2 linked regions of the Coturnix japonica genome follow. The protein of the gene in region 1 interacts with the protein of each later gene in a pairwise test. Links are inferred from orthologs where the notes say so. Each region holds a gene or a part of one and is shown in the gene's direction. Other genes may lie near its edges.

Evidence for each region.
Region 2: the proteins of NMI (region 1) and GCSH interact in binary tests that used the Homo sapiens proteins (3 or more experiments, as listed by UniProt). The two-hybrid records come from large-scale screens. The link is inferred for Coturnix japonica from reciprocal best matches to the Homo sapiens genes NMI and GCSH.

The regions. Positions count from the first base shown.
Region 1 is NC_029522.1:30,825,998-30,829,902, forward strand, and holds part of NMI (N-myc-interactor), read left to right. Parts: coding exon 1-105; intron 106-951; coding exon 952-1,059; intron 1,060-1,957; coding exon 1,958-2,120; intron 2,121-2,589; coding exon 2,590-2,696; intron 2,697-2,810; coding exon 2,811-3,000; intron 3,001-3,711; coding exon 3,712-3,818; intron 3,819-3,905. UniProt on the Homo sapiens protein: Acts as a signaling pathway regulator involved in innate immune system response.
Region 2 is NC_029526.1:13,645,242-13,650,839, reverse strand, and holds the start of GCSH (glycine cleavage system H protein, mitochondrial), read left to right. Parts: upstream 1-2,294; 5' UTR 2,295-2,335; coding exon 2,336-2,456; intron 2,457-4,935; coding exon 4,936-5,015; intron 5,016-5,598. Other genes in the region: PKD1L2 (polycystic kidney disease protein 1-like 2), read left to right, coding at 155-365, 601-702, 1,231-1,362, 1,848-1,973. UniProt on the Homo sapiens protein: The glycine cleavage system catalyzes the degradation of glycine. The H protein (GCSH) shuttles the methylamine group of glycine from the P protein (GLDC) to the T protein (GCST).

The DNA.
Region 1 (3,905 bases):
ACTGCTAATGAAGAATATGTGAAAATACAGCATGAGCTGACAGAGCTAAAGGATGCTCAAGAGAAACTTAATAAAGAGAGTGGCATGTCTAAGGCCGTCTATGAGGTATGGAGAAGGCTTACTCGTGACTGTCAGTATTGGTGGAATTGTGGGGGAAGTATTGGTTAGGGAAGGTAATATTTCCATTCCAGTTGAAATAGCTTTACCAGTTTGCAGACTGTGGGACTAATATTTTAAACATGGGTTTTCAATGTCAGATGAAGAACTGGTGCGATTAAATAAGTCTTACAGGAATGAGAAACTGAGACTGATCTTATGTGGAAAATGAAGATAAAAAACAGTCTTCCAAGATTCTCCTCTAACTGATATATTTCAGCTTTGTGTGATGAAGATAGAATTGAATGGGACTGAATGGGTTGTTTCCATTGCTTCATTAAATCCCAGCACCTCCTAGACGAGGTTACAGCACCCAAGGGATTGGCATTTCTTAAGTGACAGTAAGCTGGGCAAAGGCCAAACGCGGTCTGAAGATGGCTCTTCTTTCTGGAACAAATTGGTTCATTACCTCAGAGTGCTGTGAAGTCGTCAGTACAGCAAAAGAGTTTTCCACAGGCTGTAAAAGAGCTGGTTTCTGTGTCATTTTGTTTAGCCTGAGAGCCACTGATGAGCAAGTTATGCTTCCATATTGCAAGCTGGGTGACTTATTGTATGCAGTATATCCTTGGAAAAACCAACACTCTGTTTGAAAGTCCTTACTGTAATTTGCTTTGATTGAAACTGCTCCTTGGTGAGTGCATTTGCCTTGCAGATAGGTAAAGTTATGGAAAAATGCCTCATGCTTGGTGGTAATATTTGAAAGCTGAAACACTTTCTAATATCTACAGATTTTGCTGAAACGTACTTCTATCTCCTGTATGTTTAATTTTGCATTTAATACTTTTTGGGCTGTAGACAGAGCTTTGTGTGCTAGACCACGATAATTCTGAGCTGAAGAGAGACATTGAGAAGCTCAAAGAAGAGCTTGCAGAATGTTGTTCAGCGCTCTCGCAGGATGGTAAGGTAATGCTTGCAATATTTTACAGTTATTATTTTAGAAGGACACATTTTTGGTCAATTCTAGACTGTTGAGGTCAGCTGTTTACAGTCATAGAATGACCTGGGTTGAAAAGGACCGCAATGATCATCTGGTTTCAACCCTCTGCTATGTGCAAGGTCACCAAACACCAGACCAGGCTGCCCAGAGCCACATCCAGCCTGGTTTAGCATTTAAAGCTCAACTGATTTCAGTATAAAGTACAGCTTGATGCTTTATTTTCTTACTTTATTTGGCAAGAAAATGTGAAAAAGACTAAGGATATGGAAACAAATATGAGTGTGTGAGATACTGATGAGTGAGAAAAGTGAAGAAAAGTAGAAAATAAATTAAGTGGAAGACATTGGAGTAAAAAATGCACGTAGTATTGCTATTAATTTTCAAGTGCTCACATTTAGTATTCCTTGGGTGTGAGGATGGCAGAAAGAATGAGTCCTTTGGCAGTAGTGAGAACAGAAAGAGAACAAGCTCTGAGTTAAGATGCTGGTTTTGAAGATAGGTGACAGAAATGCTTTTATTGCTCAGGCTGTTTTGTCTTGGAGGAAAACAGTATTTTCCTTTTATTTTGAAACAGTTTCAAAAGGGGAAAGAGACGCATCTGAAACTCCCTGGTATCTATTAAAGTAGGCTTTCCTAACCAATGTTTTCATGAGTACTCTTACCTACTCTCATTATAAAATACTTCTGTTTTACTACGATGGTAATATGCAAGGTAATTTATGAACAGATTCACCATTGCTGTAGAACAATAATGCAAGTAAGTAAAAAGAAACGATAGCGATGACTCTCATACTTACTTTACAACTTCCTGTTGTAAATTAAATTACATGAAGTTTGTTCTCTATCTTGATTCTAAAATACTAGATTAAAAAAAGGGTGGCAGAAATGAAAGTGGAGTTCACTCGCATGGAAGACACAGAGGGTGACATTCTGGATATGAACACCCACTGCGTTTTTTCTGTAACAACAAGAATCCCATTCAAACTGAACCAAAACCGAGCACTGCTTACTTTGGAAGATGAAGAAGGTATGATGCATATTTGAAGTATAAAATGAACGGCTGATGTATTTCATTACCATAATGGGTGACTCCATTATGCATGTATACTGCAGATACATCTGATCCATTATTTCAGCTAAAATCTAACAGCCTTAGTGGGCATTCTCCACTGCTGGTAGTGATGTGTTTTTATCTGTGGGTTTTTGAAATAAAATACCAAAAGTCCAGTATTGATATTTCATACAGTGAGAGCATCCTTTGACAGTATCTTTTATTCTAGAGACAGTATGGTGTTTTAGCTGTTGCCTATAGCTAGTGAGATTGAACAGCAGCAGATATGCCTGAAGTTGTGGGCAGTTAGATATGGTTGCCTAACTGTCAGTTATTTCTCCTTTAACAACATGAAAGGAGATTTTGCTTAAGAGACTGACAGGTTGTCAAGTTACAGTGATGAAACAAGGCTTTTCTTACCTGTAACCTTGTGATTTTTCCTTAGTTGCCCAGAGACTGACAAAAATGGGTAAGCATACTGTGAACCTGGATGGAACTACAGCAGATGTGAAAGTGGTGCCTTTTACAGTTGGACTGGGAGTCAAATTTGAGGTAATCAGCTGAACTATGAAATGACAAAGATACACACTTGCAGTACTTAAGAAGCTTTAGGTTTGGTTTTGTGGGTGTTCTCGATCACAAAATGCACAACAATTATTTCTTTAGCTCCACATCACAATTTCTGGAAAGAAGATCAATGTTTCGGAAATCCCTGAGCTGCCAATTCCTGATGAATGGATGAAAGACAAATTAGAGCTGAATTTCTACAAATCTGAATACGGAGGAGGAGTAGTAGAAAATATAAGATATGACAAGAGGTCCAGAACAGCTGTGATTACGTTCACTAGACCTGGAGGTATTGCATGTAATGTTTTGTTAGCTGGATATACAAGCCACGTTGTCCCTTTATTCCCTTATGTTCTGAGTTAACTTAACCAGTGAATACAGCTAATTCTTCCCCAAGGAGAGTTAAATTGATCAGGAAAAGATGTAGGTTCACCCACACATTTGTGAATAAAGCAGTGCTTCATCACATTCCTTTTTGATCAAACACGATATGCAGCTTGCCCACTTTGCTTCTTTCTTAACTTTGCCAGAAAACCCTTTTTTTGCTTTGGATTGCTCATGAAAATTAGGAAAACATGTCTGATTTGTAGCTCTCGTTCCATAACAATGAACTGAGAGAAGCATTCGGATTGCCCAACTGTAGGCATTCTGGTTTAAGTGCATGAAATTCTACGGAGGCCAGCGGAACCACATCTATTTACAGCAGCTGCTTTAGTTTTATTTCAGAAGCTTTTGTGGGTATTTACTGGTTTTGGTTTTTGGAAAGGCCAAATAAAGTTGGTTGGCCTTTTTATTTTTTACTTTTTTCAAATTACATATGAAGAACCTGCAAATGCACCATCATAGGTTTATTTCTAGATCCAAGTAAGAAAGGTCAGTCTGCTCTTTGATAGTTGTACAAAATTGATCTTGTAGGTCCTTTCCAACCTTGTGATTCTATCATTCTATGAAAATGCATTTTAGGTTATTTTACTGTTCTTTTTCTCATTCTCCCTTACAGCAATGGCCAGCATTGCGAGATGTACTAAATACCCTTTCTATGTAAATGGAAGGTGCCATAAGCTTTCTGTGTCCCCAAGGACTGATGGACACTTGGAAAAGCTTCAGGTAAAATACTTCATATGCAGATCAGATCCATAGGAAGCACAAGAAATGGGCAGAACTTGTAGTTCCAAGGACTGCCCAAGTTTCCTA
Region 2 (5,598 bases), on another chromosome or scaffold:
GCACACAGCAGGGAGCAGAGACAGAAACATCCAAGCAAAAACTCAAGTTAGCTCTCCACTGAAAACAAGTTCAGAGTGACTGGCTTTCCCAGAACGTATGCGTTCCCAGGTTTCTGTGAGATGGTCTAATACATCTTTTCTTTGTTTCTAACAGCTCTGTGAGCTTTAATGAAACAGCAAGAGCTGATGCAGTTCTTGGCTACCTGATTGCTTTCCTCGTGCTTCTCTCCACAGTGAAACTGTGGCATCTACTGAGGCTCAACCCTAAGTTAAACATGATCACCTCCACTCTAAGGAGAGCATGGGGTGATATCTCTGGATTCATCACTGTTATTGCAATCATGTTCCTCGCCTATTCCATTGCTGTGAGTATGACTGTGGTTTCTCTTGTTTTCAGTCAGCACTGAGATACTGACAGGTTAAATGAATTGTTTCTGAATGGGGAAAGCAATGTGTCTTTGAAAAGTAAAACTGAATAAAGCTGCCCATCTAAACATTAGGCTAAAAGACTGGGTACTAATTCCTCCATATATGTGAAGGCAGTTGATTTGCAGCAAGGACTCTGACTACGATGCAAGATACGTCTTCTTTCCTTTGCAGACAAACTTGATATTTGGCTGGAAGCTCTGCTCTTACAAAACTCTCTCTGATTCAGCAGAGACCATGGTCAGTCTTCAGCTGGGAATCTTCAACTACGAGGAGGTATTCCCTCTTGATTTTGAGTTTTGGCATAATATTTTTCAGCTCTACATCCATTCAAGTAGTTAATCCCCAAAACGTACTCCTCTGCTCTTTAATTCCTACACAACCCTTACCTGATATGTGCCCTGACAGTCTGTGTAAAGACACTCCTAAATAGAAGCCCACAGACATGTTATGTCTGCTTTGATAGCTGGGACACAACTGAGCTGGTTTGCCAGTTTTCACCTCAAACTTCCATACCAATACATTCAAATGCAAACACTTAAAACAAGAACAAAACACAGAGATTGCCCATATTAATATTTCACATTATATGAAATATTTCATCTTCTTTGCACCATATTATATCAAAGCCCGAAAGTAACTAAAGGAGAAAATCTATTTATAAATGTATGATATATAAATATAGCATAATTTATTACGCACAATGATTTTCAGAGGGACAAACTCCTAATGGCGTGATAGCTGCTTGTATGTAAGCTCCCTTTTAAAATCAGAATGTGATGTCTTACCTGATTGATCTTTCAGATCTTGGACTACAGCCCGATTTTAGGCTCCTTCTTAATTGGATCCTGCATCATTTTCATGACGTTTGTGGTGCTGAATCTCTTCATCTCAGTGATTCTGGTTGCTTTCAGCGAGGAGCAGAAGCACTATCAGGTGTGTTATCTCAGCTCTCCTGCTGTTCTTTAACATCAGTCGTGCACTTAATCACAACATAGGTATCCCACCACCTGATGAGACCTATGTAAACTCAGTATTACTTTTAAGAAGTCAACCTATTCCCATAAAGCATGTTTCAGATTTGCCAGAATTACTCTGTCCATTCCTGTTCAGATCCATAGCCTGGCATTCACACACTAAATCCAGAGCCCCAGCTCCATTGAAATCAGTACCAAAATGGCTACAGAATCGATGAGGCCTTTACAGCTCCTTTTAACAGTGTCACTGAGCACCTGGTCTGTTCAGATATTGATGGCATTGTGTGAAATCCACGTTGGGCATTAGGAAACATTCCTTGTCAGAAGGAGCAGTGATTTAGTGGCACAACTGTGCAGGGAGGTGGAGGAGTCACCAACCATGGAGGTGTTAAAGAACATCTGCTCCTGGCTCATCTGTTAACTGGTCCCTTGTCTTTATTTCAGGCTTCGGAAGAGGAGGAAATCGTGGACTTAATGCTCATGAAACTTTTTGGTTTCTTTGGGATTAAATGCAAGCAGGAAGAGAAGACGGGCTGTAACGATCAACCAAAACAACCCGTCAGCAATTAATGGCTAACCGTAACGAAAACGCTGCTTTGTTTGTTGGCTCAATATCGTGTTTTGTAACTGCCAGACTTGGGCTATCGTGCTTCTGACTGGAATGCTGTACGTAGCCTTGCAAACTCTTCCTGATTGATGCAATTGTAGCTAAAAACTCGCACGAAACGTGAAATAAAGCATCCCATGAGCATCAGTACGTGTTATTAATCAACACCCAGCGTTATCTCCCTCAGCAGGGCACACAGGGAGCTGCATCCAAACCGCTCCTACCCTCACCACACACACCGACATGGCGGCGCTCCAATGGCCGCCTCCATCGAGAGGCGGGAGCTCAACGCGGCGCCGCCCCCGGCCGAGGCCGCCCGGTAAAGATGGCGTGGTTGGCGTTGTGGAGGCTCGGGCCGGCCTTGGTACCGCGCTGTTCGTGCCTCTCTGTCCGCCCGCAGGTCCCCGCGGTGAGGAGGCTGAGCACCGGCTCGCTGCTGCTGTCCGGTGAGTGTTGGAAGGGCCGCTATGGGCCCGGTGTCAGTGCAGCAGGGTGGGAGGGCTGCAAGGGATCCCCTGCACCGGGCACGGCGCTGAGGTTTAAATAGGAAGGAATGACAACACAGAAATGCTTTGTGTTGTGTTTGAGCTGCATCGTGCAGGATGGAAGGGCTGAGAAGCCCGGGTAGGGAGCTGCAGCCTCTCAAGATGGCTGGAGAGCTGTGTATGATTCCAGGGGCACAAAGAGGAGCCCTGACACCGGGGACCGATGGGTCTGACCGGGTTATGTGCAGGTTGTGAAGGTGTGTGTGTGTGCAATGTGCTGCTGTGCACAACAGAAATGCTGGATAAGTGATGGCTACCACTGACAAGTTTGCTCCCATACAGCCCAGTAACTCGCTGTTCAATGCCTGCTGCAAGAAACAGCATCCATCGTTATTTGCTTCTATCACTAATCGAGTTGCTTAATGTACCCGCTGCTTTAGATGTAACCTGATGAAATAACACGAGCTGTGCTTCCGTTTTAGGCAGAGAGGAAAAAGTTTGGTATGGCTGATTGTGGAGGTGTGAGTGTTCCTTCACTCTTCAGGTCTATATTTCTGAAACACTGAACAGAGGCAGGATGAACCATTTAGTTCCATTTAGAGGTGTGAGTTTAGGATGTGCTCGTTAAGCTGAAACCAAAGCCATGCTGCAATGAATGAAGCTGGAGAACATGAAGCTGCTATTGTGGCAAAGGACGCTCACAGAGATTTGCTGTGCTCTGATGTCTGATATCCCTATATTTTGATCTCTTTCACGTGCAGGTCATGTAAGCTCAAAGTTCAGATTTTGAGATTACTCATTAACTCCTTCTCATTTGACCCGGACTTTATTTACTTTATATATGTGGGCTTTACCACATGGTTAGAATTTCTCATTTTAATCTTTGTAAAAAAAATAAAACTATATATATCCTATGAGAAGCATACGAGCATTTGGGGCTATTAAGAACATATCAGTATCTAACAAAGCAGTGAAATTTGTTTTCTCTTTTCCTTCCCCATAATCTCACCTTTTAAACAAATCTTGCACAATATCATTGTCCAACATAGAAAGATACTGGCTGGCTCCTCTGTGATGTGCATGACGTTAATGTTCAGCGGGGGCTTGAGGTCTTGCGTTGTTCTGTTCTCATGGTTCATTACTCATTTCCTATGAAATCCCTATTACCTGGGGGTTAATGCATTGACCTAAAGCAGTTTGGTTTCTTCTGTTCATTAGAACATGTCCTGAGAGATTTATGTAGATGTTAATAGCGCTAGATGAAATTCTGTGCTCTATTTGAGTGATGCTGTGTGGAAAGATGCCTTATTTGCATTATACTCGGTCTGTTTTGTATGCTCTGCTTCTGTATATTGTGCTGCCACAATAAATATAACTGTGAAACTTGAGCTGCCATAAGAGAGAAACTATTTGACCTCTTCCACACGTTCAGCCCATATAGATGAATCACAGCAACTGAAACAGAACATTACTGACTAAGCATGAGGATTTTACCAGACCTGTAGTGAGGATTTCTGCTTTCTGTTATATGTGAACCAAGGAAATAAGGCTTTGATGTCAGGAAGAAAACTGCTTCAATTTCTTCTTTTGAATGTAAAAATAACTGCTGCTGGGAAAAGAACATGAGCAGCCCTGAGTCTCACAGCCCTACACTATATGCGGAATTTTAGGGCTGCTGTGGAAGAGATGTAACAGTCTTACACACGCACATCTTAGAACTATTCAGAATGAGTACTGTGTTGTTCTAAGAGTATTAACATCAAATTCTCTTAAGTAACGTTTGCCTGTTTGAATGGCCCCATTAATTTTACCTATATTGATTGTGCCTGTTTTTACATATATCAGTGATGACATTGAATGGGAGAAATAGACAGTAGAGAACACGTGAGGAGAGGGAAGGGATTCAGCTGCCCGGAGCAGGCAGGCTGCAGCTTCACCTGGTCACTCTGCTTCATGTTTTGAATGGGATGCTGCAATGCTGACACTATCATGTTATTAATGCTGGCCTTCTGCCTGCAACTTTGTTATTCCTGGGAAGGAAACACTAAATATGCTTGGGAAGACCTCAAGGCATCATAGAAAAGGTTATTACTGTGAGCAAAGTAAAGATGTGTGCTTTGGATTTGTATTTTACGTTTGAACTATTCCTTTTACCCCCATGGTTGACAAGTTTCTGGATGATTGCATAGGATCTAAGGCTGGCTGTGGGGCAGAACCCTGCAGTGAGCTGCTGCTGTGTCACTAAGCATGTCCTGAGCTGAACAAAGTGCTTCTGTAAATTGTATTTGCTGTTTGTAGCATTTTCCAAGGGGGGTTGGGGAGGAATCAAAGCACCGAACCTCAGGGGAAAGCAAAGCAAAGCAGCAGGGTTTGTAACCAGTGTATTGTGTTTAAACAACTTGCCACTGATTTCTGAAGTATCAAGTTTGTTTCATTGTAGCCCGCAAATTCACAGACAAGCATGAATGGATATCAGTCGAAAATGGCATTGGAACAGTAGGAATCAGCAATTTTGCACAGGTATTGATCAACTCTCTCTTTTCCTACCCAAGTCTGCAATATTTACTTACAGATACCTGCTCCTGTCCTTGCTCTTTGGATAGCTGCTGTTTTTTTATGGTTGTAATTGCATATCCTATACACGCAGAATGAGGTTTTTGGACTTGGCACCGTCACATTATTTGAGAAGTGGGCGCTGTTTCAGCATTCTGATAGATTCTTAATCGGTTTAGATCGAGCCTGTGGGGAGCTGAGTGTGATGGAAACTTAATGGTTCAAATGAATTCAAAACTGCATTTATTACCACAGTACTGTAGGCCTTGGGAGTATGTGGCTGTGGTGAAGTCAGATTCCACTTGAACATGAATGTGGTGCAATTCCTTTGGCTAAAAAAACCTATTCCATGCTGAAGTGTAACACAGTCTATATTTCTCAATATAAAATAGTGGAGGTAGGGGGGAACCCTTTGGAGTTTTGTTCTGCTCTGATACAAGCATGTGATTTGGAGTAGTGTTGGCTGTGCAGTTAGCTGTGCTGGCTGGTGCTGAGAAGATAAGCAGATGCTCTTTCTCATTCTGCCTGAATAAATCTATAGATGACATGC